7 linked regions of the Oryzias latipes genome follow. The protein of the gene in region 5 interacts with the protein of the main gene of each other region in a pairwise test. Links are inferred from orthologs where the notes say so. Each region holds a gene or a part of one and is shown on either strand. Other genes may lie near its edges.

Region 1 (4,823 bases), on a different chromosome or scaffold from region 5:
CACACAACACTCCCATATGGATCTGTCTGTATATTTTATGTAGGAACAAATTAATATTTTACAAAAAGTCTCGTAAAAATTTGATGACTCAGTGCTTCCCTCTCAACAACTTAGCACTTCAATTACAAGACATGACAATGCCTTACCGTTTCAGATGTCCAGAAACGGTTTTAAGTATCACAACACTTCACAAGAGACATGCAAAGTCTGTACCAAGAAAATTTCCTTGCCTTACTGGAGAAGGTTAAGAAAGACCTGAAGAACTGGGAAGTTCTCAACCAGTCTCTTGCAGGGAAAGTAAATAGTATAATAATGAATATACTTCCCAGATTCCTTTACCTGTTTCAGTGCGTCCCCTCTACATCCCTAAATCTTTTTTTAAATCTGTCGACAAAAGCTTTTCTTCATTCATCTGGAGCGGTAAGACCCCAAGACTCTGTTTAAAATTATCACAAAGACCTAAGCATCAAGGTGGCTTAGGCCTACCAAACCTGTGCCAATACTACTGGGCCTCTAATGTTCAAAAAACGATAGATTGGCTCCAAGCTTATGACATCAACTGGTATCGATTTGAAGCCTCCTCCTATAATACAAAAACTCTGACAGCCCTAATTGGATCTAGTCTCCCCTGTGTCATTTCACACTATATTACACACAATCCAGTAGTTACCAATACCTTTAAAATTATGTTTCAATTCAGACAGACGTATGGACTCACTCAAGTGCTTACCACTAGTCCTATACACAAAAATCACCTTTTTCTCCCTGGTCAGACAGACTTCGTATTCATGATTTGGGAAGTGATTAAGGTACAGTATAATCAACTTTAAGGACATGTACCTAAGCGGTATATTTGCAAGCTTCAATGATCTTGCTTCCAAATTTTGTCTGCCTCACTCTCACTTTTTTTAGTACCTTCCAGTGTGTCGCTTCCTTCAGCAGCATGACCCTAACTTCCCTAACATACTGTGTTAGATGAGGTGTTTGAGTTGCCACTCAATTCAAAAAGATTCATTTCCAAAATCAAAGACTGCAAAATTCCTGCTTCCATCTTTGTTGTTTGATTGTCGACTGGTTAATTCAAAACTTCCAAACTTATGTAATACGTTCTTTGTTTGTTGGAGAACTGTTTCCAACATTCTACAAAACTCATTCTATGTCCCAGCATTACACAAAAAAGTTTTTTAAAAACCCAATTTTTCCAAAATACAAAGAAACCCATTTTAAACAATGAATGCAGTATACCCATGCAAGGAACTGCTACATTTACGTTTTGGTTTTCAAGAAAATAACTGTTAATAAATATAAAATCACTTGATCATCTGTTTTTTGAATGTACATATGTTACCAGTTTTTGGGAGTATTGTGTTTGTTGGTGCTCCTCAAAGTTTCCTTTTCCTATTTCTATTCCGTTACAGTTGTGAGTACTTTCTGGTGATAATTTATTTGATTTGGCATTTGATACTTTATTAAATTCTGGGAAATTCTTCATCAATGAGAGCAGATTTTTTTAAAATCAAATCATTATTCAATACATTTCATAAAGAGATCTGTTTACATTTTAAATCCTTGGAATTCAAGAAAAACAGAAATGCAATAAAACTGTCAATTTTCATTGAAGATCACATGTTGTATGACCATACCTAGTGTGAGCTACAATTCTAATGTTATTTATTTATTTTTTCTTTGTATTGTATTCTTTTTTCTTTTTATATCTTTCTATTGTAGTTATGTGAATGTGTACGTGTCATCCTTTGAAGTTCAATAAGAATAAAATAAAATAAAAAGTTGGTGAAATCAACGCTACAGGAATGGGCTTTTAGTTTGAAAGGACGGATGTGACGTACTGTATTTTCGGTGAGGTTCTTTCCGGTTAGCTTACAGACATGAAGGGTCAGTTAAAGAAAGGTGTGGAAGTAATACCAAGCCGGGAAAACTGCGTTTATACCAGCTGTTATTGGTAAAAACCAAGTTTTAACAAATCAGAAAAGCAGCCCACTGTCCTGCAGTCTTTAGTTTTGTGTCAATAAATCATTTATTGTCAAGAAAAACATCAAAATGCTAAGCGGATCCGCTCGGCTAATCGATATTCACAGTTTACATTGTTAAATGTTATACCCATTTTTAAAACTGTTATAGTGAATGAGTTATTTCAATGCCATCTGTCTAATTAATGATTGAATGAATTTTCAGGGAAATATAGTTCATTTTAATCAAGTGAATGAGTGGCTAATGCTGCTTTCCTTTACTTTCTCAGTGAGGAAAATGTTTGGAAGCTCTGTGAGTTTATTCAAGCACAGAAAATGGTTCCACTGGACCAGTTTGCTGTAATTTTCATCTCTAACGACACCAGAACGGTAAGAAGATCTGGAAACATTTTAAACGGCTTAACAAGACAATCGAATAAACAAAATGTTTGCTTTAAAAATAATATTTCAAAAAGTACCTCATACTGAGAATGATGGGCACCGAGCCCTCAAGGGTTCAGGTGGTCTCAAGAAATATTTGAAAGTAAATAACAGGCCTTCTCTGTAAAAAGAAAAATCCTTTTTGCAAAACATCTGGTAGTTTCAAAATACAGCTACAGTGATCCCTCGCTATAACACGGTTTACTTTTCACGGTTTCGCTACTTCACGGATTTGCATCGTGCATTGTGTTCTGCATTCTGATTGGCTAAAAAGTCACTTCACTTCTCTACCTGTGCGTCAATAACATTGCAGTTTAATATGTACACGTACGTAAATCAGCGTGCCAAATTTACAACAGATACGTGCAAATCATCTTGCAATTTCGAGTTTCTCTATAACCCATGAAAAAAAGGAGCGACAACAACAACTGCCTATCACTATGTTCTTCTCCCGAACAAACACAGCTGCACCGCGGGCTTCAAAGGGAGACTGCAGAGCGGAGTCAGGATGCAGCGGCTCAAGAGCAGTGAATTACACCTGAGTCACTATTTGTCTGACCGTACTTTGTATTTTTTTAAAAATCATTTTAAATATCTTCCCGTTTAATCCAAATACTCGGGTCGCGGTGGGCGGGGCTAATCTCCGCGATTTGAAGCCTTCTGTTCACATTGATGATTAAAATTCTTATTTGACAGTACAATACAGAAGATATTTGTTGAAAAACCTTTTCTAAAGTACTTTTATTTGTGAAACAATTCCTTAGCCTGTAAAACGGTTTGTTCTTTCTTTTCAATGTATAATAGAGAATTTAATTGTATAATAATTGTTAAAAAAAAAGGTTTCTACTTCACGGATTTTGCCTATCACGGGTTCTTTTTGGAACGTAACCCCCGCGAAAAACAAGGGTTTACTGTACTCCATTAATTGTGTCCAAATTGGAGGGCTGTGTTCTTCCTGGGCTGCATCTGAAGGCTGCTTACGTAACATGTTGTCCAAATTCAACAAGTCCTTTAAATATGGCCACCGAATACAGCCTTCTTTTTACCCGATTTCAAGGATTGCTCTGGTGTACCCTTCTATGCTGTCCATATCCCAAGATGCATAGCAGTAGAACCCGGATATTTTCTGACAACAATGGCTCCATGCCTGGTTCACTCCTCCTCCCTGTTCGGGACTCACGGTTGCTAGGCAACAGGACATTCACTGATGTAATGGCTGGAATTATCTAAAGGCTAGACTCGTCCAAATTCACAGCCATTAACATCTGACCTACCCGCTCAACAAAGGACCCGAGTAACATCGCCAGGGAAGACTGCGGCCATTGAAGGACGCAGACTTCGAATTTGGGAGCACCCAATATATAACGCTCAAATGTTGTGAAAGCGTCTCACTAAAACGGTCAATCAAACCAAACAAAGAAGTTCATCAAACAAATAGGCAATCCCTAAAACTGGCCACTACACACAGTACATTACAAAAACCAAAGAAATCCCGGACAAGCCCCCAATTTATGTTACACCCCATTTTAGGAAAAAGAAATACTATTTAATAAAAAAACAACCAAATTACTGTATATTTGCAGTATAAAGCACACTTAAAACCCTTAATTTTTTTATTTAAAAAGCAACAGTTTGTCTTAAAATCATGATCACCCTATCTATTAATTAGTTATGCTGCAAACAAGGTTGGGTGTTATTGTGAATACCCTCACGCGGCTAATGTGTGGCGATGTTGGACTGTTTTTTTGGTTACCAAAAAGGTTGTGTGATAGCGTAGTCACGGTAACGTTTGTTTTAGCGCTATCAGTCTGTTTTGTCCACGTGCTGCAAGCAAAGTAACGTGACTGACTGACGGACATTTCTCTGACTCTTTAATCTCACTTAATCTGCCTTGTAGTTCGGTGTGCTCTATATGTGACATATGCTCAAAATAGACCATTCATTGATGTTGTGCTTGATAATCCGGTGAGCCCTGTAGTGTGGAAAATACTGTACAAAGAACAAAGCCTGTATGTATGTTCTGCCCTGGAGATCCTTGCCCAGTCTGGTGCTCTGGACAATTAGGCACAAATGTGCAATCAAAGCTGGCAGAGGAGAAGGAAGACAGAAAACCTCCCACTCCAGCAGAAAATATAAAAGAAAATAGAGAGAGAAAACCCAAATGTACAAAAAAGCCATCACACTGTCATTTATCCATAAATTTTCTAAATCTGCTTAATCTGTTTTGAGGTCGAAGTGGTTGCTGGAGCCTATCCCAACTACTGTTGGGTGAAGGTGTGGGTACAGTTCCTCTGTGTGTCGCAGGGCAGGGCTCTTTTTTTTGGAAAGTAAATCTCTTTCTTCCTTTATCTGAAACTCAAGTTCATTATCTTTTCTCCGTTAGGTTCCTCTTTGGAGACAAAAGTCCGGACATGA
Region 2 (4,902 bases), on a different chromosome or scaffold from region 5:
TTTTCCATCCATTCATTTTTTTCAGGTCATTTGGTGCCGGGTTGGGGGCAGCAGTCCACGCAAAAATGTCCAGATTTTCCTCTCCCCAACCACTTAGTGGTGGACAGAGCAGTATAAGACAAGGACAGCAAACAATTTTATCAAACCTTTTTAAATTTATTTTTCAAAACGTGTAAATGGGCAAAAATGGGCCTTTAAAAGAGGTCAAAGTAACAAAATTAACTCAAGCTTTGAATTTGACAAAGGATAACTTACTTAAACTGACCTACCTCATTGAAAACACAATGGAACATATATAGTGACTGATCAGACCAACTAGACACACAAGGGGGAACTTAAAAAGACTAAGACAAAATACAGCAAGCAAACTAAACTAATATCCATCCTGTGGTAAATTAACATACACAAATGAATGAAAATAAAGAGCATCAAAATAGAAACTAAAGTAAAGCAACACAAGATAATTTATTGTCCCCTGGCCGATGGTTTAGTGCTGAATATCAGGCCTCTGCTGACTGGCATGCATTCTTGTGTCAGGCCTGGTTCCCTCAGCACTGGTAACTCAAAGCATAACATCAAATTAATGAAGCAAATTATAATAAAGTAAGCTGAAACGTGTTAATCAATTTTATGTTCAAATGTGTGTGTGAAAAAGAAATCTAAAAGTATATGCGAAAAGATATAGTGAACGGATATATGTAGGGTGCGGTGCAGGAGGTTACTGCTCTGATGGGGTGGCAGCGTAGGCAGCCATCACACACTTCCTGCAGCTCCCCTGGGAGAATCCCAAGGCGAGCAGAGAGACGTAGTCCCTCAAACGTGTCCTGGGTCTTTCCCAGGTCTCCGCCCAGTGGGAAATGCCCGGAACACCTCCCCAGGGAGGAGTCCAGGAGACATCTGGATGCTTTTGGTTTTAAGCAGCTTTGAATGGGCTTGGTTGATTTCAACTTGTTAAAAAAATTCTCTTCAAATTGTAAAGCAAAGTGGTTTCAGTGAACAAAAAACCTTTGAAGTACATTTGACTTGAATGATTGACATCAGAGAGGAAAACCATGATCCGTGTTTTACCATCAACATTTAAAGCTCAACACTGTCTAATGTGGTTTTGTAATATCCAAAACATACAATATATAGTGTGTCTCATTCAAAAAAATATGTGTGAGTGAGTGTAAATTAAGCAGTTTTATAATTTTTAGATTCATATTCTTGTTGTTTTTTTTTTGTTTTATAAATTTCACTCACAGATTTCTGCAAAAGCTCCACACCAACCATGAAAAGTTATTAATTTTTAGGCAAAGTTAATAATCTAAATATTTTCATTCATGCAACCAATTTGAGAACAGCTTTTACTTTGAAAGACCTGTCACAGAGGCCATCAGTTCTACAGATTACAGCATCTACTGACTTATTCTGCGTTTACCAGAACAACAGGTTGGTTTTTAGTCTTCCTGAAGGGGCTATTTTTCATTTTTGTTAAATCAAACTCAAGGATTCAGCAGCAACTTTTGACAATATCACCAACCTGAAGGAACACACCGTGTCCGTCATTGACTACATTAAGAAATGTGTGGATGATGTGACAGTGGTCAAGACCGTCAGGAAGAAATCAAATTGCAAACCATGACTAACAGGAGACGTTTGTTCCTTGTTGAGAGCTTGGAACATGGCTTTTAAATAAGGAGATGCAGCAGCGTACAGTCTGGCAAGGACGAACCTGTCACAGGGGATTAGAGGGGCAAAGAAGCTGTACACACAAAAACTGAACAGCCACTTCATGTGTGAGAAAGAGACAATATGCCGGAACAACCGCCCTTTACCCCTTGTGCTATCCCATGGGGTCCAGATGACCCCACCCTTACATTGACGTGTTCTCCCTACCATGACAAAGGTGGATAAAGGCAGAAAGATTTCATGTAATCCATGGACACCAGTCGAGATCACAAATTTAGCGCACTGTCTTGTGGGGTCTAGATGACCCCACTACCAATGTTAAAGTGCCAAGGATAGCACAAGGGTTACCAGAGGAACTGAACAACTTCTACGCATGGTTTGATGTTTACAGCACCATCCAGGCACAGATGCTGCTGCTGTGATCCAGCAACACAGCATTACAGCCATCAACCGCAAAGCGGCTGGCCCGGACAACATCCCTGGACAGGCTCTGAAAGACTGCATGGAGCAATTGAAAGATTTATTCAGCGAGATCTTTAACACATCACTCAGACAGGAATTTATACCCACCTGTCTTTAAACTGCTGTCATTACTCCAGTCCCAAAGATGTCTGATCCAAACGTATTTTGCCCCGTGGCCTTCACACCCATTGTGACCAAATGTCTTGTGCGCTTGGTTCTGAAGCACATCAAGAAGAGTCTTCCAATAAATATGGACCCTTTACAACTTGCATCTTCAGTAAATAGATTTACTGAAGATGCCATCTCCACTGCTCTCCACCTGATCCTGTCACATCTGGAGAGGAAAAACACCTATGCTAGAGTCCTCTTCATCGACTTCAGCTCGGCTTTTAACACCATCATTCCACAGCAACTGGTGGAGAAGCTGAAGGCAATCTGCAATTGGATGCTGAGTTTACTGACAGACGGGCTGCAGACAGTCAAGATCAACACACACATCAAGGCCCATGTCATCGAGCACAGGCACACCACAAGGGTGTGTCCTGAGCCCACTGCTGTTCAGTCTGCTCACGCATGACTGCACAGCTAGGTACAGCACCAACCACATTGTCAAATTTACGGACGGCACAACAGTAATTGGTCTCATAAACGACAATGATGAGTCTGCTTACAGAATGGAGGTGGGGCAGCTAGCAGTGTGGTGTGAATGACATAATCTCCAGATCAATGGTGATCGACTTCAGGGCATCTGGCAATTACCACAACACACATCCGACCATAAATGGTGTTGCTGTGGAGAAGTTCCTGGGGGTGCATCTCACTCCAACTCCACTCCTCCAACTCCAAAATGACCACCAGAAAAGCACAAAAGCCTCCATCCCCTCCAGAGACTCAAGAAGGCAGGAATTCCAACACCTCGCCTCATCACCTTCTACAACGGCACCAATGAAAACGTGTTGACACAGAGCCTTACATGCTGGTTTGGCAGCTGCAAGGTTCAGGACCAACAACCGGTCAGCGAGATTGTTGGAGCCCATACCACCATACGCAGAGTAAGCTTCCTCATTAGGGACCCTCCGCTTCTCTGTCATGGGGTGTTCTTCCTTATGCCATCTGGGAAAAGGTTCAAGAGTATCAGCAGCAGATCCAGCGGGATAGTAAAATCTTCTTTTCACAAGCAGTGAGACTGCTACATAGACTGTCCTCCTCCTGCATACATGCTCTCACAAACTCCACACCGCAATCAGACCCAATAAACTACCCCCACCCTCTGCACCACCCAAAGACACAATATATACTGCTGCTAAATGCAGATACTAACTTTAAGGATTGAATGCTGGTTTCTATTTTTTTGACATTTTATTTTAGTTGATTGCTATTTTATTCTATTTTATTGCTATATTTTCTTTTGCACTGTCATATTAGTGAGGAAAAACATCTGGTCTCACCTGTGTATTCCTCTGCAAATACTATGAGTGAAATAAATGACAATACATTAATCTGGAATTCAAGCATTCAAGGATTTTATTTGGTATTATTTAACCACAGGGTGAATTCAAATTTGTTGATCTGGTCCCAGCCAATTAAAGTGGAAATATGCCAAGTAGAAAACAACAAGAAATGTATATATAAATCCCTTACATCGGTAACATGAGTACAGATCCTATCGAATATTGGATAAATGTAGTATTGTGGCACTTTACTGGGACTTTCACAAAAAGATGCAAGAACAGAAATCAACAATTAAACCACAGCAGGAAAATGACATGTTAATAAAAAAACAATGCAACTTGGTAAGAAGAAAAACAATTGATAAGATGCCAAACAAGAGCTTTAAACTCAGGGTGAAATGAACTAGTGTTGACTTATCAAACACAAACTCACAGCTGGTTCCTGGATACTTCCTTCCTTCCTGGTCCAGGAAATACCAGGAACAAGGACTTTGAGCTAAGAAAAGTAGAGGAGAAGAAAGTCATCTGAGAAAAGAGCTCTGCGAGGTTCACACTCGGAAATCCCAAAATGCCAGGTGATCTAGAATAATCCAGCCTTGATTGGTAAATCTGGAGAATTACACAAACACATTTAAAAAATGTTGCTGCAACTAAAAGGCTCCATTCTTTGGTAATCCCCAGGTTCCGCACAGCGACTCCAAAGTAATCAGGATGTTTGAAATGATGAAGAACTCTGATTTCCTGGCTCCTCACAGCAGGAGTTGATATCAAAACAGAGCAGACGAACGGTCCAATTCTTCAGTGAAAAGGATTGGAGTTTTGGAAAAGTGAGGTAAAAACATTCCACGTTCCAGGATTGAATGCAGACTGGTGCTACAGAGAAAAGGGAAAAACTCAAGGACTTTCCAGTTTGGGTTTACTGGTTGCTCTCCGGAGCTTCTGTCAAAGCTGTCCTGTGATGCAGCAGCAGCTGGTAGTACAACGCCCCCCGGTGGTCTCACGTGGGAAATCTGCCTTTAATCTGCCAGGGGCCATTTTGAAGCAGAGATAACACGTCTGACTGGTGGGAGTCAAGTGTGAGACACAAACAAGGAGGAAGCCAAAACACAGATAGATACACTAAATGATGAAAAAGCCTCCTAACCTGAAATGTATCTTTCCTAAAAATTAGTTTTAAACATTTGAATTGTTCCTGTTTAAACAATTGACTCTTTAATTAAAGTATGCATATAAATGAGAGTTACAGACTATTTTTGCTTCAAAATAGAAAAGCATTAAAAAGGGGAGGAGCAGAAAGTGAATACAACACAATCATTTT
Region 3 (4,146 bases), on a different chromosome or scaffold from region 5:
ACTGTAACAACAATGGGACATCTCAACCCCCCCCTCATGTTCCCAAAAAGGACGTACCTTTGCCTCCTAATATGGGCGCCGCCATGTTAAAACCAGTCGACCATGATTGGTGACTGGGACCAATGGCTGTCGACTGGTGTCAACGTGGCGGCGCTCGTGTCAGGAAGCACCGGTGAGGGATTTTTCCTTATTTCGCTCTTTGTTTGAAAAATGCGTCGCCGTGGCAACATTTCTCTTTTTGATTTGTTCCTTATTTCTTCCTCCCTGCATCTCTGCATCCGCCCCCCACTCCACTCCGCCCCGCCCCGCCCCACGTCACTCCATCCCATCCCACCCCACCCCACCCCACCCCACTCCAGGCATGGCCTCCATTTTGATGTCAGCAGTGGGACTCGGCGTGCACTTCACCTCCGCCCCCCTCCCTCAGCAGCAGCCGCCACAGCAGCATCAGCTGCCGCCGCCTTTCTCTCTTCCTCCTCCACCTCCTCTCCTGCCCCCAGCCAGCAGGCCCAGCAAGCCCCCCAGCAGCAGCAGCAGCAGCAGTTCAGTTAGGAGAGCAAAGAGGCAGCACAGGAGAGGTAGCTACCACACCAGCAGCCCCCACTCCACCTGTCCTGCTCCATCACTGCACTCAGGCTTCTGTCCTTCAGACTCTCCTCCATCAGAACTTCTTTCTGCTTCTGCCTCAGTTTCTTCTCTGAATCTGACAGACTCCCCCCGTTAAAGGGGGGGGCAGCCGTGGAGACGTTCTTCACGCTGAAACCTGAAGAAGATGGTTTCTGAAGAATCACTGAACCACCATGACAGGGAGGGGGGGGGGGGGGGGGGGCATCATTTCCTCACCACTTTCACTCCGTCCCATCACTGCTTTGTTGTTGATCTGGCTTCACCTTGATTGGTCTGAACGTAATCATCAGGTTCCTTACGGTGAGCTCTTTGTGTAGCTGGAATCAAATGGAGAGGATTTTTTCTGTGGTAAAAGTATTTCCTGGAGGATTTCTAAACCTATTTTGTGGAAATCATCTCATTCCACCAGACTCTCCTGGTCTTTCTTGGGTCCGTGTTTTGGTTGGGGTCCTTCAGAACCTCCTCCTGTGTTTTCTCCCACAGCGTCGGCCCAGAAACCCGAGGAGGTGATCCAGCGTTACATGGAGGCGGTGTCGGCGGTTCCAGATGAGGTATGTCATGTTCCGTGTCGGTTTGCACTCATTGGTGGAGGCAGAGAAAAGGGGCGTGGCTATGTGACATCACCTGTCAAACATTCAGGACTGCATCATCTGCATGGACCAGCTGTCCAACCCGTCCGGCTACGAGGCGGGCCCGTCCGAGGAGAGCAGTCCGAGCATCGGGCCCAGCAGCGTGGGGAAGTTCGTGCGATGCGGCCACACCCTCCACATGCTCTGCATGCTGGCTATGTACAACAACGGGACAAAGGTACGCGGGCCGCCGCCATGTTCACCCGGGACGCTCCCCAGACGGAGGGTGAAGGTCTGTTCAGAGTTAGAAGAGCCGTGTGGGAGAAGTTCTGCTTTAATAGTGAAGACCCGCTCTGCCGGGTCATCGGGTCGGCGTTACAGAGCCGGTATCCCGATGGTTAAAGACCTCCACCGGGTCACAGGAGCGCAGTTAAATGTTTCACATCTCATCCTGTTCTTCAGCTGCTTAGACGTCCTTTTCTTTAAGGGAAATCTTTAGTTTTACTTGTTCAGTTCCAGTCTAAAGATGACTAAACCGATGAAACTGTTGGATTTAAAGCAGGTTCAGATGATGATGATGATGATGAAGCACTAGAACCTGTGTCTGTGGGCGGTCTTCTTTGAGGAGTTGCTTTCTCCGTCCTGAACTCCTGAGCAGAAACGCACTTTGTTTCTCTAAAAGTCGTCTGGAAACGTGGCTCAGCTTTGGTTTCAGGAGCTCAGATGTTCCTCGGTGGGAAAAGCTCCACGTCTGACTGTTGGTTGGTTGTTGAAAGGTCCATTTTACTGAGGCTCCGCCTTCTTCTGTCTGAGCTTCTGTAAGGGGCGGAGCTCACCGGGTTCCCTTCTCCCCCGCAGGACGGCAGCTTGCAGTGTCCTTCCTGCAAGACAATCTACGGGGAGAAGACGGGCACGCAGCCCAAAGGCAAGATGGAGATCTACAGCATCGCTCAGTCGCTGCCCGGACACCCGGACTGTGGAACCATCCAGATCATCTACAGCATCCCTCCTGGCGTCCAGGTACATCCCTTCCTTCAGCTACCATCAGGACTCAACCTTTCCCCTTTTGGTTCTTTTCTAGAGATTTTCTGAACATTTTTTTTAGTTTTTCTTTAGTGATTTTGCTCGTCTTCACCATAGAAACCCGTAGGAACCCAGAAATGCCTGGTGAGCTGCGTTTAGGTCCGGGTTCTTCAATCTCTGCTCTTCCTCTTTCTGAATAAAATACCTGAAATTTTGAATTTTCTACCTTGTTGGTTGTAATATTTACTCTCAAAGTAAAATATTTACCCAGAAAAACACGAGTCTGAGATCAAACTGATGTTCATTCAGGTTTACAGAAACCAGATTCCAAACAACTTTGGTTTTTTTGTTTGTTTGCTCTTCATCTGACAAAGACAGAAACACTTTAGTGTAGAAAAAAATGTTTAAAAATAAATGAACTCACAAGTTTCAACCTGTTTTTGGTCAATTATGCTTTAAAATGGTCAAATTTAGGTTTAAAACACCAAAAAAAGAGTTTCTTTTGACTGAACTTGCAGTTTTATCGTTGTCTCTTCTTCTTCATCCTGCAGGGTCCAGAGCACCCTAACCCGGGACAGCTGTTCACCTGCAGGGGCTTCCCTCGTTTCTGCTTCCTCCCAGACAACGACAAAGGCAGGAAGGTAGGGGGAGGAGCCTTGGCCATCATCCCGCTGTAATTCACTGATGGAAAGTGGGATTAAATAAGCCGGCCTCACTCTTTCCTGAATGTGTGCTGCCCCATGTGGGGGCGAGGCGGTAGAAATATCACACAGGCCTTGAACTCGCCTCACGTGAACAGCAGGAGGCGCCACAGAGGAGACCAGGAGGCGTTCAAACATTTTATTCTCAGTCTTGAGGTCTTTCTGCTGTATCGTAGGTTGAAACGGGCTTTTTTTGTTTTGTCGTCGAGGTCCTGGAGCTGCTGAAGGTGGCGTGGATGCGGCGCCTCATCTTCACCGTGGGAACGTCCAGCACCACCGGCGAGCCCGACACGGTGGTGTGGAACGGCATCCACCACAAAACCGAGATGATGTCCAACCTGTCGGGCCACGGTTACCCCGACCCCAACTACCTGGACAACGTTCTGTCGGAGCTGGCCTCGCAAGGCGTGACGGAGGACTGCCTGAAGCCCGCCGGAGGCAGCAGCTAGGCCGCCCCCCCCCCCCCCCCTCCCAACACGCCTGCCAGACCGGCGGGGGGGGGGTTCTGTTACAAACGGACTTCTGTGCCGCTCTGCCGATCCCATGAAGCACTTTAGAGCGTTCCTTTGACTCCAGACCCAAACGCATGCAGTCGGGTTTTTTTTCCCAGAAAACGGCCGAGCAGTTCAGGCTAAACGCTGTAAATAAAGACACGAATGCAAACGAACTCTGACTGAAGCTCTCATTCCATCCTGTAAGCCGGTTCTGAGAGAGGTGGGTCATCCTGGAGATTCCTGCAGCATCAGCTGCTGAAGCTGCATCCCGATGGATCTTCATCACATCACAGCGTCAGCTAAGAAGTTTCACGCCATTTGTCCATTTTTGACTGTTTTCTTACATCCTGAAGAAGTGGAAAAAAAACTGAAGTGATTAAAAAAATAGTGAATTTAGAAATGAAACGGATCTTTGACCTTCAGGAATCGCCGTTAGCTGAAGAAACTGAAGCTCAGAAAACATTCAGCAACTGTTCAAAGGGAGGAAATGAGGATGAATATTTATACAGATGAATATTTGATGAAACCATAAACCTGTGAGGAGGAAAAAATGCTGAATCCTGAAGAACCTCCAGCCGTTCAGACCGGCTCGGTCCCGGTTCTGTTCTGGGCCGGTGAGGTGAAAATGTGTGAGGACCAAACAGTCGCGCTCCTTGAACCCTTTTAGTAACGTTTTCATTTCTTCACATAGAATCACAGCTGATTACGTTTTTACCCAAATGACTGAATTTG
Region 4 (4,946 bases), on a different chromosome or scaffold from region 5:
TCGGATGTTTTCTTTGTTCTGACTTTCTCTCTTTCCATTAAACATGTCATTTTTTAAACAACAACTATAGTTTTTCTTTGTAGAAAATGTAATAATTTGTCTGGTAATTTTGCCCAGCTGGTGGGTAAAAACGGAAATGTTGACCTCTGGGGTTATGAGCATCAAACCACACGCCGCCAAACCCATTTGAATGTTGTAGCTGTCCAAAGCGGGAGTACTGATTCGTTTTAGCGTCTGAAACAGATACTCTGTCGAGCGCCGGAAGCTTTTGTCTTAACGAGACGCTCAAACTACTGACGGCTCTGAAAACATCTGCTGCAAACATTTGTACAGCTTGTATTTGGTTGAACTTTGTGTTTGAGGATATTTCCTTGTTAAAATAAAATAGTGTTTGTTAAATCTACTCTGTCATTTGTCATTTTGAATTTGTATTTTTGCATTTCTGATTTGGGGATTTTGCCAAAAATCAGCCTCGTCATCATTAAAAGATCTCTGGGACGCTTTGACGACGGATAAGAAGATGATTAGAGTGGACATGTAAATATTTTAAATATTCTGAGAGACTTTCTTCAAGGCCCAGTGGGCCTCACATACACACACAAATATAATATCATGAAAACAATTATATTGCCTATATTAAAGATCTAAATAGAGGGCATTTCAAGCTAAAAGTAGAAGTCCCATTCGTTGTCAGTTATTTCGTTTTCACCCAGGTGAGCGACGTGTTCTCTGCATGGGATTCATCCCATGGGGGGGCTGCAGCCACAGCCGCGCTCGGTCTAACCCTCCGATCCAACGGATCAAGCATCGAAAGTAAAATAGTAACCGGTCCAAACAGCTGAAATCCCATGGACGTCTAAAGAGACATAAACAGCTGTTAGCGAGTCTTTCTATTGGTCAGAAGAAGCGTTCTGGATCGGATACCTTTTATTAACATCTTCTTGATGATCCTCATTTTTGGTCAGGATTTTGTAGCTGTTCCCATTAAGAGCATTTGTCATGACTGCCTGGATTTGAACTCACAGCCTTCCTGTCTCAGGGTGGACACTCCACTGCAAGGCCACTGAACTATTTGGTGTTTTTTGTACAATAAAATCCTGTGACCTGCTTTATTATCTGGATTTTATTAGTTTTTTAATCAGTCTATCCCAAAATCTAACATTAAATCCAGGTTATCTACTTTTTTCCAAGTAGCCAATATTTATGTATTTATTTATTAATATTTAGATGTATTAAAGTTAAGGTTGCTTCTCCAATTGTGCTTCCAGTACTTTAACTTTACCGATAATAAACATTTTTATGTAAGTCAGTAGTAAAGTACCAAGCAGAACATCTGTCCTTTCTACCTCTGCAGGTGTCGGTGATTTAAGGTCATCCTGTGCGGTTCATTACAATATAGCAACAAGTACAAGTAGGCCTATTCTGTAATAGTTTGTATCACGTGTTTTTGATTGCTAATATCTAATATATCTGCTGATTTTAAAACAGGATTTGAACGTCCAAATGCCTCCATGTGTTGGAGGAGCTTTAAAGCAAATCAGCAAATTCCCCTAAAAAGTGAGGCTGTCTCCCCTCAACTACAGAACAGACACGACGGGTCAGGCTGTGAGCTCTTTCTATTCAGAGAGTTTGTTTTTCATCTATGAAAGCATCCTCATGTCTTCAGGTCATGGTCCACCTTGTTCACCTGCATCAGAACCCAACCGGAGCTTCTGCAGCCAATCAGGGAGCAGCGCGGCCTCCGACCGGCCGGTTTGCTCCTCCGTGACTCTTTCCGTCCTTGACGCTGAAACACGCGTGACCCGTGACATCTCCTCTCTAGAAAGATCATCGTGGTGCCGAGGCCGCGTCAGCATCTGCTTCCACGCTGAACGTGACGAGTGTCCACGCGTGGACTCACATCGCGATCCACTTTCTGACACACAGACCGGAATCCTACCGCCACTGAATCTGACTAAAGCCTTGACCATCATTCCACATGAGCGCCGTTTCTCGGCATTTATGCCCCAAACGTGTCAGTCTGCTGCATTTGCCCCTGCCGAGGGTGGCAGCAGAAGACGCGCGCGCGCAGGGCCCCGAGTCGTCCTTTGGGGGCCTAAATGTTATAAAAAATAATAATAAAAAAGGCCGATGTTTTAAGTTCTTTACGGTTTATTTTTTCTTTGACAATAATCAGAAAACAACAAAAAGAAAAATCAAAATAAAGCCGCTTTAGGCCCAAAGGCCCGGTTCTGGTTCCGCGTTTGTTCAGCTTCAAATTATGAAGATAAATTTGGACTCTGCTTGAACACCGAACCTCGTATTACAATGAATGTGGTTCGGTTCGGTGGTCATCACGCAGTTCTGAGCTCCAGATCAAAGTGCGGCGCACGCGCGTCTTCTTCATTTTACAATCATTTCTGGCCTTTTAGTGTTTGACTGAGAATATTTATAAATAATTCTAATGATTGGAAGATTATTTTGGAGCTGTTTGCGTTTCATTTTTCACGTTTAAATTTGTCTCTAAACGGAATTTCATTTTGGACTTTTAGTTTCGTTTCTTTTTTGAAAATCTAAAAAAAAAAACCACGTTTTTCAACGTTAAAAATAAAAACAGATCGAATCGAAAAGAATATTTCAAATGAGGTTTTCCAGTCTTTAACGCAATAAAGTACATTTTCCAGAAGCCACAGTTTTCATCTTATTATATTTACGGCTGATCCAGGAGGCCCGGTATCGGTGGTTCGGACGGTTCTCCTAGAACCCAGTTTTTATTCTTACAGTCCAGCTCGGTTCGGCCCGTTTGCGGCTCATCTCTCTCGTCTCGATTACGCTTCTGAGCTCGTAGGTTCGATACCAGCACAATTTCACCACGAGTACCACCAGTAAACATGTCAAACCGGACGGCGCAGGGTTCGGTTCCGGTCCACGCACCTGCGGCAGTTTGGGGTCGTTTATGTCCCAGGAGAACTTCATCCCGATCGAACACACGCAGTCCGTTTCCTCGCCCTCTTCTGCCCGGGACATGACTGGTTCTGGTTCTGGTCCAGATTCTTCTGATCTTAATGAGAACTCAATGAAAAACGTTTCAAAGTACGTGAAATCAGCACGTGCGACTCCGCGAGAGTTACCTGAAAGACTGACAGGACAGGTGAGCGCGAGGAGGCAGAGGAGGAGAGAGAGAGGGACAGAGAGGAGAGCCGAGTGTGTGTTTGGGTGAGCTCGCGCGTGTGTGTGTGTGTGGGTGTGTTTGCTTTGCAAACACCTCGTTGCTTTTCCAAAAACAAACTAATTAATGAATGTGCACCAGAACCAGGACTGAAGGAATACCAGACCCAGGACCAGGACTGAAGGAGACCAGACCCAAGACCAGGACTGAAGGAATACCAGACCCAGGACCAGGACCGAAGGAGACCAGACCCAAGACCAGGACTGAAGGAATACCAGGACCAGGACTGAAGGAGACCAGACCCAGGACTGAAGGAGACCAGACCCAGGACCAGGACTGAAGGAGACCAGACCCAGGACCAGGACTGAAGGAGACCAGACCCAGGACTGAAGGAGACCAGACCCAAGACCAGGACTGAAGGAATACCAGACCCAGGACCAGGACTGAAGGAGACCAGACCCAGGACCAGGACTGAAGGAGACCAGACCCAGGACTGAAGGAGACCAGACCCAAGACCAGGACTGAAGGAGACCAGACCCAGGACCAGGACTGAAGGAGACCAGACCCAGGCCCAGGACTGAAGGAGACCAGACCCAGGACCAGGACTAAAGGAGATCAGAAACAGGACCGAAGGAGACCAGACCTAGACCAGGACTGAAGGAGACCAGACCCAGGACTGAAGGAGACCAGACCCAGAACCAGGACTAATGCTGACAAAAAAACATGACAATGATTAGATCAAATCAGGACCAGAATGGACCAGAACCAAGGGCAGAAAAGGGCAATAATGGGGCTGTGATTGAAGGCAACTTGGACCTGCAGGATGATCTCAGTCCAGGATCAGGATCAGAGCAGAAAATTGTCTTAAGTACAACAAACCTGGACAAAGATCAGTACTTAAGCAGACCAAAGCCAGGAAAGGGTCAACTTGAAACAACATCATAACAAACGCACACCAAAGCAGATCAGTACTGAAGCAGACTGGACCCAGGACTTTATCAGATCAAGATCAGAACAGGCTTGGACTGAGACTATAGCAGACCAGAACCAGTTCTAGGATTAGGATAGATAAGACCTATCAGAACATACTTGGATCTTTTCCAGTCTTAGGGTTGGTGTCAGAGCAATGTTTATTATTTTCTATCCGCTGCACTGAGCAGTAGGACCTCCAGGTCCCTAGAGGTCTGATCCTCTGCAGATGGCTGCCTTCTGTAATGGAGCTAGTGCAATGCTGGAATCATGGGTCTGACCAATGAGTTATATCACTAGAGGAGACACGCCCGCTTGGGAAGCCTGGCCGACGGTGGCGGAGCGCGACGCCATCTTGGTGAGGTCGACGACGCCCACATGACAATAATTTCTATTGCTTTTAGTGGTGTCTAGGTAGCTTTTATATACTATATATATTTATATATATAATATATATATAGATAGATCATTTGTTGTTGTTAAAGAAGAGAAACAGGCAGCCTTAAAAGCTCAAACTTTAATGAAAATGCATTGTTGCAGGAGTTCTTACAAAGAAAAAAATAATTTCAAAGAGTTTTTAAAAATAATTTCTAAACATTTAGAAGTTTTAGACCTCTTTGACATGTAATTTAAATTATTTAGAAAAACCCAAAAATGAGTCAATAATAATAATAATAATAATAATAATAATAATAATAATAATAATAATAATAACAAATCAATAGTAAGTCAATACAAACAATAAATAAATAATAAGTCAATAAATAATAATAATAATAAGTCTATTAATAATAATACTAATACTAATAATAATAATAATAATAATAAT
Region 5 (4,146 bases):
GCACCTCCTTCTTTACTCGAGCACTTTTTGTTGTCACCATCACTTTGCACTTATCGAGTAAATCAACATGTCTGAGGTGGTTTCCTCTGAAACGTATGGCCTTATGCGTGCAAACTGTTGGGCAATATCACACAAGCGCATTTGATCCGCATCAGAACTGAAGTTCTACGATGTTTCGCAGGTATGGAAACTCTGGTGAAGTTCTTAAACAAGGGGTTCCAATTCAAGGATTCAAGGGAGTTTTTATTGCCATCGTCAGTGAACAAAACAAACTAGGAATTTGCTGCGGTGCCAGTGTGCCACATACAACACTTACGAATAAAAAAGAACAACAGTAAGCAAAATAAATCACTTGCAATCCAATCACTTGCAAGTGAACTTTGGTGTGGTTCACTACAGTGTAACAGTCAACTAAAGAGCAGAAGTGAACTGAATAGTGAAATGCACATTTTCAGAAAAAACAAAGTCTTGCATTGCAAATAAGGAAAAATGCAAAAACTAGAGTATGTCCAATTAGTAAAGGTGGCGTCACAAAGTAAAGTTGCTTCTCAGTAAACAATCGGAGGACAGGCAGGATTAGCTTATTATCTTCTCTGTGCTTTTTTTTCCTTCCTGGTCAGAGCTTATCAAGACCTTCCCCACTTAAGCAGTTGTTGGAACTTAAGGACGTTTCCTGACAAGCAGACTATTATCCTAATTGAAAATACAGCTTTCAACTTCTTTTTTTTTTTTTTGGTAAACGTACTAGTTTTTTATTTTACTAAAGCCTCACCTTCCATTTCCACATCTGCCTCAAACCAGAATGGATTAAATGTTGCACTTTCTAAAAGACCACTAGAGGCTGGTTTCATATTGGCTACTAACTAAGACGTCTATCTTTACAGCAAAAGATAAACCTATTTATTTAAATTTAGATTTAGATAATTGATTTCAGAAATATTGAATTTTTTTTTTGTCTTTTCATGACAATTGCAGAGTTGAAACATTTTTTTAAACTAGTCATTTTGATTTAGAAAATAATTTGCCTCGATTTCTGCAACATGTCGTTTCTTTTTATTGGAATGTGGGTGGACCCATCGATGGAGTCCAACAAAAATTCCCACCCACTATATTTGTCATGTTGTTCGTTTGGGGCGGAGCAATGTTCCCATCCCAAGTGAGGCTTCATTTTTGTAATTCAGGATCCCATGTTTGACGTCAGCTTGTCTACCCAGTATTTCTATGTCAAACTTTCTGCTAGATGCCTCGACGCTCCAGTGGCTGAGCAACCGCCAACGTTTTTCTGGACTTCATTCGTTGCCACATCATGGAGAACATGGATGATGTTGAGCGAGTAGCTAGGCTTTACATGTTTGTAAGAGCTCTACAAGCCCGTCGCCGTGACTGGGTTCACCGGATCCTTCAGAGTCTCTCCTGGCGTGCTCTGGAGCTGCGCCTCGGTTACGGCCGTTTCAAATGTTACTTCCGTCTGTCCATTGGCCAGTTTGAGCCTCAACCCGAGAGAGGAACAATAAAAATAAAACTGGAGGTCCGACTGCCGGACAGGCATGAATTTCCTAAAGTCTTTTGAGGAAACATTTTTCTTAAATTAACCATTTGTGGTCATAAGCACAGTTTTTTTTGCTCAAATCTTCTTTAGCGCGAGCTACACCTAGTGGGCAAACTGAAACGCCCTCCAGGAGAGGTGGAACATAAAGATCTGCACATTTTTGTTGCAGCTTCTCCGTTTGAGAAACCATGTAACACTGTGTACAATTTCATTGGTTTATTATTTCACCAATAGATTTAACTGTATGTGAACCGTATCAGATTAAAATGAATATGTTCAAAACATATATTGATTATTTTTGGATTTCTATAAAAATATCTCTAAATGTGTAAACTGTGTAAATTAAATACTAAATTCAGTCAAATCGAAAGAGTGGATTGAAAGAATCAAAAAAACGTGGATCTAGTGAATCAAATCGAATCGATTCTAGAAATTATTGGTGATACCCAACCCTAGTTGGCGTCTGCATTGCCACAAAAGGCTACTAAATTGACTTAATTTGGTTGGAGCCGGAAGTAAGCCATGTTCTATGGGTGACACTCACTCACTCAGTCCAGTTCTCATATACAGTCAATGATCTTTAGCTAACCTAAACTATGTTAAGTCCAACAGGAAGTCTCTGACTTGAGATGTCATTTCTTTTTCTTTGTCCAAATGTAAGTGGCATTGAACTGACGTGATCTAAAGCTTTTGAAGCAGCTGTCACACAGTGATATGATGACGAGCTGAAGGCCAGACATATTAGCATATTTCAGTCTTTGATCTTCAGGGAAGACGATGACAAACGCGTCCTGCCGACGGAAACCTCTTCTCATCAAAATACCAAAACAACGACCGCTTTAAATAAAACCAAATAAGAGGAATCAACTTCAGATATTTAGAGCTCCCCACCACTGTGCACCTCCCCCTATCACTGCCACCTCCCCCTCGTCTCTGTCCACTCACCCCATCCACTTACCTCTCTCCTCACTTCACTCCTCCTCTTCTTCTTCTTTCCACAGATGAGCTCACAGTGCCTGCTCTATATCCCGGCAGCCCAGATGTGTGGGCATCATACCCGCTGTACCCGGCGGAGCTGTCGCCGGCCCTCCCACCCGCTTTCACCTACCCCTCCTCGCTCCACGCTCAGGTAACCTCCAAATCCCCCCACCCCCCACCCCCCATGTCCACTATTGCACAAGTTAAGCCTATAAATCACTTCCATGCACCTCAGTGCGCATCCATCACCCAGCCACTTTACCTTCTATGAATGTCACCGAAACACCAGAGATCTGTTTTCTGTTGTTCTGAAGGCGTAAAGAAGCTGTTAGGGTGGGGGTTTAGTTTGTTTCTCCTTAAGGTTAAAAGGATTTATTTTTACAACTTTCCCTACAGTTATAACGATAATTAATTCAGTGATATCGTACTAAAGAATGCAGCTCTTGCAAAAAAAAGGATTTCCAATGCTGGAAGGGTTTTCGTGCTGGTAAAGTTTAAATTTAGCAGCTGCAGCTTTAAGGCTTCGAACTGTGATTTAACGATCTCCTGTATGAAATGAAGCCGTTAATCCTGCATTAGGAGTTTAGGAGTTTTACCTAATTAAAGTTATATTAGGAATTATTTAGTTTGGAAATGTCTAATCGCAGGTTTTTCCTTACAGGAGTCGAATTTGTCTTTAATATTTCCCTCTCTCAAAAGCAGCTACAGTTAAATCCCAGCATTTTCCACATTTTAATGAGGAAAAGACTGTTTCTTTAGTGTAGCAATTGTTTAAAACTTTCTCTTTTTTTTTTTTACACAAAGGAACAAAATAAAGCAAATGTTCTTTAAATAGCTAAATCTCTGTTTTCAGATTCATAAATTTAATAAAACAAATCTGAAAATTACCCGCTTCTCATTCTAAAGTATCCAGAGTAATGCTGACGAAAAATTTTACATTACATGTAAAATTTCAAGAAATCCAGTTTCTCCTGTGATTTTTGTTATAATTTTGCGATCATCTCTGCTTAAAAAAAAACAAAAAAAACACATTTTCCAGAGTATAAGTCACAGGAGTTAAAGAATGCATAATAAAGAGAGAACATAAACAATTCATGCGGGAGTATAAGTTGAACTTTTGGGAGGAAAGTGCAGTACTTCTGAACAAATTTTTAGCGTAATGCTGCGTTCACGCAGAACGCCATTCACACATCAAATTCGCATCCACTATCTTCTTTCAGCGCTAGTCAAATTCTGTCCAAAAATGTGTTTGTAAACTTGATGCTCCCTTTGTGTGTGGGAGAAGCTGCCATCTAGATTTTAGCCTCATCGCCACATGGGAGCCTGGACTGTATATTTTATTTACAACAGATTAGGTTTATTTATTTAGAAGAGCTCTTCAAAAGCAAAAGTCTTCCTGTCTGAATTCATTGTTTTGGATGAGGTTTACCATCTACTATAGGACCTGCATCTTCAGCGGTTCTTCTGTCTCTCTGTAACCCAGTTTGATGACTTGCTGTCCCACTGTTGTCAGAGTAAGGAAAAAATAAAAATAAGATTAACATTGTCTCCATGCAAATGAGAAAACTATCAAAAAGTTAAGCAGGACAATCAGATTCCATGTGTGTTTTTTACGGCGC
Region 6 (3,576 bases), on a different chromosome or scaffold from region 5:
TCCTTTTTAAAAAAAAAAAAAAAATTTAAACCACTATGGTCAGTTTAGTACCGTTACACTACAGAAAACCATTGAAACGGTGCATGATATGAGCAAAATTAACCTTTCAGCGAGCGCAAAAGAAGCAGGTAAAAAAGCAAGAGCATCGAACATTTATGCGTTAATAGGTCTATAAAAATATACTTTAGCTACTGTATAAAGAACAGCCTCACAGGCCTTTGAGGTTTTTATATTTATTTTTTCTTTGAGGGGTGGGGGCAGCGTGTGCAGCTGGTAACCCTCAAAATGCAGAGGTTGTGGTGGGTGGGGGTTCGGGGCTGTAGCTGAGGTTTTAGACTTGTTCCTAGTGGATAGGATTAATGTCTGTGTGATGGTTGGCCTGCCCGTGCACACTGCTGCCCCCTACAGTCGTTGTAGAGGTTGTTATGGTGTTGTGCTGGATGACCTGCTGCTGCTGTTTGCATGCTGGAGCTGGGCTGCCTGCTGGACTGCTCTCTGGACCTGAGGACACAGCAGAGACAACGCGGATCAGGTTTAGATGTAGGAAAAGCCTTTAATTAGGGCACAGACACAAGTGTGCACCTCAAACCCTGAAATGTCTTTACTTTGCTAAAAACAGTCATTTTGGGACAAAATCAAGGTATTTTGACTTTTTGTTTTAAACCTGAGCAGCTCAAATTGTTCAACTAAATTAGAAAATGTATCATAAAATGATCCAATAAAAATCAAACCACTTTCAAGAAAATAAAACAATGAATTGGAAAAAACAAAATAGCAAAAAACACGTCACTTTAGGGTCAAATTCAAATCAACTATAATTTTTTCTAAGAAAAAAACAAACTCCTGCATGATTTATTTAGGTTCAGCAGAATGAGTGTGTGCAGTAACACCAACATATAAAAAAACTCTAGAAGGAAAACTTTTGGAGGTAAAGCCTTACTGTTTTTTCAGAAGATGTAGAAGGATTATCATTTATTGTGAAGCTTTGCTGTTTCAATAAAGATCTACCTCACCTCCAGGTAAGCTTGCGTCACTCACTCTACACGCTTTCCATTAATTAGGCTTTCGCTCAATAGCTAAATTCCTAGCCTTCTTGTCTCAGCCAATCACAATCATATTTCTGCTTTTAAATTCATGCACGTTTATCTTTCTACATTCTAGACAGTTTTTCCGGCCCTCCTCCACCCCACAGTGGTCTCAACCACCATCAGTATCCAAAGCTCTGGGGTTTATCCATCTGTAGTCCAATGAAGAAAGACGTCGTCTGCCCAGAGAGTCTAACCGCCCAAAGACTATGGGCTATTTCATGCATATTTTTGTATCACAAATAAATCTTTCTTCACATTCCTAAGACCTCTCCCTATTGAAATGCAATATCTATGGATCACTTTTAGGGCTTTTTTTGTGGCCTTTTGTTTCTTTTTCTTGTGAAGTTTTATGGCGGATGGCACACAAACCTTTTGTTTGCTTTGTTTAGTTTCACTTATGTTTTCTTGGTATTTGACATAATCTGTTTTCAGGTTTTGTGTGTTTGCTGTCACAGACACATCAGGTTCAAGTTGTTGATTATCCACAGCTGTCTTCATTTACGCTAATCATCCTCTGTGTGTTTAGCTGTCTTGTTGTCAGGTCATCTGTTGTTTGCACTCTTTCTAATTTTGTTCTTGTTTAATGGTCTGTTCAAGTTTATTTATTAAAGTTTTAAAGTTCTTGCCCTCAAGCCCACCCTTAATTTGTGGTTTTTCATCAGTTCCTGATGTGCATATTTGTATATATAACATAAATACTTGAAAAGAGGATTGTAAAAGTTTATTTTCTGTCAAATTTATTATACATTAGTTACCAGCAAATAGAACTTTGGAGTTGAAAGTTGTAAAAGTCAAAAGCCGATTCTAAAAAAAACTGAATGACAAGGCCAGTACACTAATGTAAAAGTTTATGTCTAAAAAATATGCTCATAGTACGTTTTTTTGTCTACGTTAAAATTAATCGCTTTCTCCAATGAGCAAAACTCATCTGTTATGGTCATCCTAAGCCGGTATGGGAGTTGTCTTTCTCCTGCAGAATAGAGCCGTTCAGCTTCATGTGAGCCTTATTTTCCTGTGCATAAGCTACACTGGGCGGTGCCCCTATCCTAATTATGGAAATGGATTACATGGAAATGTCACTCGCATTAATATCGAAAAACGAGACTGTGAAGTCATGTGAACTTGACAAATGTCCAAAAGATTCTAAGGAGTTTGGCCACATCTGGGAAGTAAAACCCAACTGTGATGCCTTCCTCACATGAAGACTCTGTCACCTCCGTCCACAGAGGTGCTGTCTGATGGAAATATTAGCCTGTTGTGAGATTCAGACGACCAACTCCCTGTCCAGGCTTGTTACCAGGGTTTGACACAGCCATGAGTAAAAGAAAATAGTCCTGCATAAAGTGTGGGAGCTGGACGCCAGCATCACAGAGACGAGCCCTTGGCCATCCCAATTTGTCCATCAGAATTCATAAGACTAAGGAGTGTTTTTGTTTGAGCTACTCACTGAGGTAACCTTGGGACTCTTTCTGCATAGTTGTGATGGGGCAGTCCTTATGTGTGAGCAGAAGCTGCTTGAGTTGGGTCACCTCACTCTTCAGCATTGTCACTTCATTCTGAAATAAAGAAAAGGACCTTTTTTTAAAAAAAATCATCAACAAAGTCTTAAAATGCTGTTCTGATCTAAAGCTGAACCTCAGGTTGGTGTTTGTACCTGAAGCTGCATGTTGGTCTGAGTGAGCTCCTCCGCTTTCTTCTCCAACGACATCACCCAAACTTTTCTCTTTTGCCTGCATCTCGTCGCAGCCGCTCTGTTTCGCTCCAAGAACTTCCGCCGTCGCTCATCTGGATCTTCGTCCACGACTCGCCTGCGCCGCCCACCACTGGGGGGAGGACTCTGCAATGTCTGTGTGGGCTGCATCTGCTGGGTTGCAGGTGACATCTGAAACACGCGGCACAAACGACAAGTGTTATGGAGACTTTGATGAGACAGAGTCTGTCTGCCACCATCCAGCCACATGTGTGCTGCGAGCACTCCGACATCTGGATAACCACCCATCACCTGTAGGCTTTTCTACCTCTCTGCTGTTAAGAGGGGCCTCTTGCTTGTAAACAAGCATCTATGTATTATCTGATCCAGCTATTTAATGCCTGGAAACTTCCCTAAAAACAACATCTGCTCGCTCCACGCGCCTCTGAAGCCCAAGCTGCATGTGTCAGGAGTGAATGAATGAGTGAGTGAGTGGGCTGATTCACCAAGCTACCCACCTTGTTAAAGAGGTGTTGGGAGGCAGTTTTCCGACGCCCACTTCCACTCAGGCTAACACCGACAGACACAGTTGAAACGCCTGTTTCTAAAACTGTATGTATGCTGACAGATCTTGACATATTCTTGGCAAAGTCAGGTGTTTTCAATCCGAAGATCATTACCATTTTTATGAGAACCAAGGAAAAATACAAGCTGCTTTAATGGCTGCTGTGAATACAGAACGTGTTGTTTTAAGTTTTTTTTTTTTTAAATCATACATCTAAGGCATAGATTGTACAG
Region 7 (4,146 bases), on a different chromosome or scaffold from region 5:
ATATAATGAAAAAGTAATCCACCAAAATGCTTTTTCTTTTCCTTCCTCAACACAGCTTATTCTGTCACTTAAATAAAATTAAAATTAAAATGGTATTTGACATTTCATTTTCAAGACGTTCTCTGGTAAATGTGTAGCAAAATTCATTTAGAAATGTCTAATTTGACATTTAAAATGGATTAATAGAAATGCTTTTTAATTTTCAAAATGAAGCTGCATTAAATGACTCAAAATTCAAATGAAAAAGCAATATTTCAAAATGCTTTTTCATTTTATACTTAAAACCGCTTATTCTGTGTCATAATTAAAACGAAAATGCAAAGAGGGGATTGCATTTGCATTTTAACATCCACCCTGGGAAACTTGTAGCAATATTCATTTCTTAAATGCATTAGCAGAGGGGAGGCGGGGCGATGACGTCACTGCTTTCTCCGTGTGTACGGCCGCTGACACACACACGCACCAGGAGCAGACTGTGTTAGTGGCAGAGAAGACGGCTTTGAGTTGGTTGTGAACTTCTGATGAGTTTCCACAGCTTCTCAGGACTACATAGCAGCATCACTCAGCGCGAAGCTGCAGGAGACTATCTTCATAATGTGCTTTTATTACTGTCATGATTATTATTAAGGGCCTGCTCTGCTCGATCATATGTTTTTAAATCCGTGCGGTCAGACGACGCTGAAGAAGTTGGGTTGCGATTCACAGCTTCTGATTCGCGAGGGAGATAAAGGAACATTCTGCTGCATTTCTCGCATTAAGATCCAGGAATCCAGGTTTGAGCAGTCCAGGTCCAGCGGTTTGTGAACAGGACCCGGTTTTAGGTGATCTCAACGCGAACACAGACACACCAGGTCTCTCAGCGACAGCGGCCGTACACACGGAGAAAGCAGTGACGTCATCGCCCCGCCTCCCCTCTGCTAATGCTTTTAAGAAATGAATATTGCTACAAGTTTCCCAGGGTGGATGTTAAAATGCAAATGCAATCCCCTCTTTGCATTTTCGTTTTAATTATGACACAGAATAAGCGGTTTTAAGTATAAAATGAAAAAGCATTTTGAAATATTGCTTTTTCATTTGAATTTTGAGTCATTTAATGCAGCTTCATTTTGAAAATTAAAAAGCATTTCTATTAATCCATTTTAATTGTCAAATTAGACATTTCTAAATGAATTTTGCTACACATTTACCAGAGAACGTCTTGAAAATGAAATGTCAAATACCATTTTAATTTTAATTTTATTTAAGTGACAGAATAAGCTGTGTTGAGGAAGGAAATGAAAAAGCATTTTGGTGGATTACTTTTTCATTTTATTTTTGAGTCAAAAAATGCAGCTTCATTTTGAAAATGAAAAAGCATTTCTGGTTTTGACTTTGCTTTTTATTAATGCTACAGAATTGCTTCCATAGCTAGGGATCCAGTCAAATGTAACTTTGTTGCTGCAGCATAGAAAATGAATTTCCGCGTCTATTAGCTCTGGACAAGAAATAAGTCGGATGGTTGCTATGGTCCATTCCCTTTAGGACGGCGGCCATATTGAATCCATTAAAATCCTTCCAGTGGTAACTAAACTAAAGACTTATTCACCTGTAGAGCTGCACGCCAGGGCTTCAGCGTTTTCAGATGGGGGGTGGGGGTTGTGGAACGAGTGTGGAGGGACTCGGTCCGGCTCCTAGATCCCGTTTTTGAGGAGAACTGTAAAAGTGGGAAGTTTCGAATGAAAACCATACGTAGGAAGGTTTTCTGTACGGGTCATTTGTTCACTCAGGAAACTCCCACATGGCCATCGTCCAGAAGGTGAACAACGAGGGGGAGGGGGACCCGTTCTACGAGGTGCTGGGATTGGTCACGCTGGAGGACGTCATCGAGGAGATCATCAAGTCGGAGATCCTGGACGAGTCCGACGGCTACCGTGAGTGTTTGTGAGCGTGTTCTGTCCGTGTCCCGCCACGGTTGTTCACACCTGCGTGTCGTCCCACAGTGGACAGGAAGCTGAAGCGGCCCCTCCCGCCCCTGGAGATTTCTCTGGAGCCTCGCAGCTCCGGCGAGGAGTTTTCTCTCTTCAGGCCCCCAGAGGGAGAATCCAAAATCCACACCTCGCCACAGCTGCTGCTCGCCACGCACCGCTTCCTGTCCAGAGGTGTGTTGACCGCCATCCCCGACTCTGTGTGTACATTTAAGCTGCATGAAGATGCTGAGAGTGACCTCTGGCCCTACAGAGGTGGAGCACTTCAGCCCGGCCCGGGTGTCCGAGAAGGTTCTGTTCCACCTCCTGCGCCACCCCAGTGTCAACCAAGAGGTGCACTTCGAAGCCAACAACCGGCTGAGCCCCAGCCACTACCTGTACACCCGCAACCAGCCGGTGGACTACTTCATCCTGCTGCTGCAGGTACGTACCGCCTGCAGGGGGCGCCCTGCACTGGAAATAACCGGACATGGTGAAAAACCACAAAAAAAAGGTTTTTATGGCAAATGTTGAGACGATTTATCAGACTTTAGCTGAGTGTCTTAAATGTCATTTTCATGTCTTTTGTTCCGTTTTAGAGGCAACTTGCTTTAAAATAGAAAAACACAGAAAAGACACTAAAAACAATTGCAAATACAACAAAACAGATTTGTTTTCATTGAAAAAAACGTTTTTTTGATTTAGGAGCTAAAGAGAAAAAAAATGTTTGTAAGAATTAAATAAAAGGGTTTTCTGTCTTTTCTTTCAGGGTCGCGTTGAAGTGGAAATCGGCAAAGAGGGGCTAAAGTTTGAAAACGGGGCATTTACGTACTACGGCGTCTCTGCCCTGACGCTGCCATCCTCAGGTGAGGGCGGGAACTAAACATAAAATTCTTTCTTCTTTCATCTTCTTCAATCCTCCTATGATCTTTAAAATCATTTTTAAAATGTTGTAACTTGCTTCCTGAATCCGGATGCTGACATGTTACAGCAGGAAATGGAGCAGAAGTCCAACAGCTGGGCTCTGAAGGCGGCCGACATCCTTAAGCAGCAACCCCCCTTTAATATTTTCAAAATAAAAGCATAGGTAGTCGTAGTAGCATTTAGCCCGCCCCCGATCACAGCTGGAAGTTTTCTTTGTAGCTTCTCCTTGTACATGAGGACTAACGGAGACCGTTTGATTGCAGTGCACCAGTCTCCGGTATCGACCCAGCGGAGCTCTCCCAGAGACCCCTTTGATTCTGGGGAGGCCACCAGCCCGTCCAGCTACTGTCCTGACTACACCGTCCGCGCGCTGACCGACCTGCAGCTCATCCGGGTCAGTGAACGACCTTTCACCTTTCCGTCTTCAGGTCTGCTTTAATGGGAGTCAACCAACCAGAAGTGAAAGGCGTTTCTTCGGACCACAGATGTTTGATGCTCCTGTTCACGGTTTCACTGAAAAGGCTGTTTCACAGAAGAAAACCCAATTCATTCTGGAGATCGCAAACAACTCCGCCCCCAAATGATGACATCACAGCAGGAGAAACCGTCAAAAAATGAACGGGGCCAAAATTTCTTATGGGGTTCAAAAAGAATTTCAAAATTCACGAATATAATCAAAAGAGGCGTGTTTGGGATATCCAAAGAAATTTTTTTAGAATTATTATGGGATGGCCTAAGGATTTAAGGCTCGGCAGAGTTTTTTTTTTTCTCCAGCAAAGTGCAAAATTTGGCGATTTTCACATTTTTATACAATGTCAAGAAAAACTTTTGTTTTGGCGATTTTCTCAGAATTTCAGACATTCAACCAGGTGACGTCTGCAACCAGTCTACGTTGACCTAAGTTAACTTGCGTCTAGAAGCCGCCATCGTGAATTTTCCAAAAAGTGACCATTAGTACCTGCTACAAATTTGAACGTCAACGACCGATTTTGAGCTCTTGCCTTGTGAGCCCTGGAGCGTCGTTGGGAAGCTAAACTGCTGGATTTAAGGTTTGTAGATTTTTAAGCCTGCTAGCCTGGCGAGCTCACAGAAGTGGCTAACCACCACTGCTAGCACATTTCTTTTTAGCAAATGTAACACATGAATCCTTGAACGGACTGTTATGACATATGAAATGAATTTATTTGGAATGTGGGCGTGGTTAAAAAAATAAAAACTTTAGCCGATCTTTCTAAGAAACACATAGGCCAAATTTTGAAAAGGTGTTTTTTTTTCTTAT

What was found.
Region 1: the proteins of RNA-binding protein with multiple splicing (region 5) and wdyhv1 interact in binary tests that used the Homo sapiens proteins (3 or more experiments, as listed by UniProt). The two-hybrid records come from large-scale screens. The link is inferred for Oryzias latipes from reciprocal best matches to the Homo sapiens genes RBPMS and NTAQ1.
Region 2: the proteins of RNA-binding protein with multiple splicing (region 5) and PHD finger protein 1 interact in binary tests that used the Homo sapiens proteins (3 or more experiments, as listed by UniProt). The two-hybrid records come from large-scale screens. The link is inferred for Oryzias latipes from reciprocal best matches to the Homo sapiens genes RBPMS and PHF1.
Region 3: the proteins of RNA-binding protein with multiple splicing (region 5) and probable E3 ubiquitin-protein ligase DTX2 interact in binary tests that used the Homo sapiens proteins (3 or more experiments, as listed by UniProt). The two-hybrid records come from large-scale screens. The link is inferred for Oryzias latipes from reciprocal best matches to the Homo sapiens genes RBPMS and DTX2.
Region 4: the proteins of RNA-binding protein with multiple splicing (region 5) and gcm2 interact in binary tests that used the Homo sapiens proteins (3 or more experiments, as listed by UniProt). The link is inferred for Oryzias latipes from reciprocal best matches to the Homo sapiens genes RBPMS and GCM2.
Region 6: the proteins of RNA-binding protein with multiple splicing (region 5) and creb5 interact in binary tests that used the Homo sapiens proteins (3 or more experiments, as listed by UniProt). The two-hybrid records come from large-scale screens. The link is inferred for Oryzias latipes from reciprocal best matches to the Homo sapiens genes RBPMS and CREB5.
Region 7: the proteins of RNA-binding protein with multiple splicing (region 5) and cnnm3 interact in binary tests that used the Homo sapiens proteins (3 or more experiments, as listed by UniProt). The two-hybrid records come from large-scale screens. The link is inferred for Oryzias latipes from reciprocal best matches to the Homo sapiens genes RBPMS and CNNM3.

Annotation. Positions count from the first base shown.
Region 1 is NC_019869.2:4,811,930-4,816,752, reverse strand, and holds the start of wdyhv1 (protein N-terminal glutamine amidohydrolase), read left to right. Parts: upstream 1-1,839; 5' UTR 1,840-1,886; coding exon 1,887-1,960; intron 1,961-2,257; coding exon 2,258-2,357; intron 2,358-4,791; coding exon 4,792-4,823. UniProt on the Homo sapiens protein: Mediates the side-chain deamidation of N-terminal glutamine residues to glutamate, an important step in N-end rule pathway of protein degradation.
Region 2 is NC_019874.2:28,769,276-28,774,177, forward strand, and holds the start of PHD finger protein 1, read left to right. Parts: upstream 1-1,993; 5' UTR 1,994-4,159; intron 4,160-4,265; 5' UTR 4,266-4,416; intron 4,417-4,902. UniProt on the Homo sapiens protein: Polycomb group (PcG) that specifically binds histone H3 trimethylated at 'Lys-36' (H3K36me3) and recruits the PRC2 complex. Involved in DNA damage response and is recruited at double-strand breaks (DSBs).
Region 3 is NC_019872.2:28,231,777-28,235,922, forward strand, and holds the end of probable E3 ubiquitin-protein ligase DTX2, read left to right. Parts: intron 1-359; coding exon 360-578; intron 579-1,110; coding exon 1,111-1,178; intron 1,179-1,266; coding exon 1,267-1,434; intron 1,435-2,054; coding exon 2,055-2,216; intron 2,217-2,770; coding exon 2,771-2,860; intron 2,861-3,129; coding exon 3,130-3,369; 3' UTR 3,370-3,587; downstream 3,588-4,146. UniProt on the Homo sapiens protein: Regulator of Notch signaling, a signaling pathway involved in cell-cell communications that regulates a broad spectrum of cell-fate determinations.
Region 4 is NC_019878.2:1,862,924-1,867,869, forward strand, and holds the start of gcm2 (chorion-specific transcription factor GCMb), read right to left. Parts: upstream 3,198-4,946; 5' UTR 3,111-3,197; exon of another isoform or gene 3,041-3,110; 5' UTR 3,007-3,040; coding exon 2,914-3,006; intron 1-2,913. UniProt on the Homo sapiens protein: Transcription factor that binds specific sequences on gene promoters and activate their transcription. Through the regulation of gene transcription, may play a role in parathyroid gland development.
Region 5 is NC_019876.2:8,095,254-8,099,399, forward strand, and holds part of RNA-binding protein with multiple splicing, read left to right. Parts: exon of another isoform or gene 1-2,344; intron 2,345-2,550; coding exon 2,551-2,678; intron 2,679-4,146.
Region 6 is NC_019874.2:16,141,545-16,145,120, forward strand, and holds part of creb5 (cyclic AMP-responsive element-binding protein 5), read right to left. Parts: intron 2,971-3,576; coding exon 2,743-2,970; intron 2,645-2,742; coding exon 2,536-2,644; intron 502-2,535; coding exon 344-501; 3' UTR 1-343. UniProt on the Homo sapiens protein: Binds to the cAMP response element and activates transcription.
Region 7 is NC_019870.2:1,789,747-1,793,892, forward strand, and holds part of cnnm3 (metal transporter CNNM3), read left to right. Parts: intron 1-1,766; coding exon 1,767-1,910; intron 1,911-1,979; coding exon 1,980-2,138; intron 2,139-2,217; coding exon 2,218-2,387; intron 2,388-2,712; coding exon 2,713-2,809; intron 2,810-3,130; coding exon 3,131-3,261; intron 3,262-4,146. UniProt on the Homo sapiens protein: Probable metal transporter.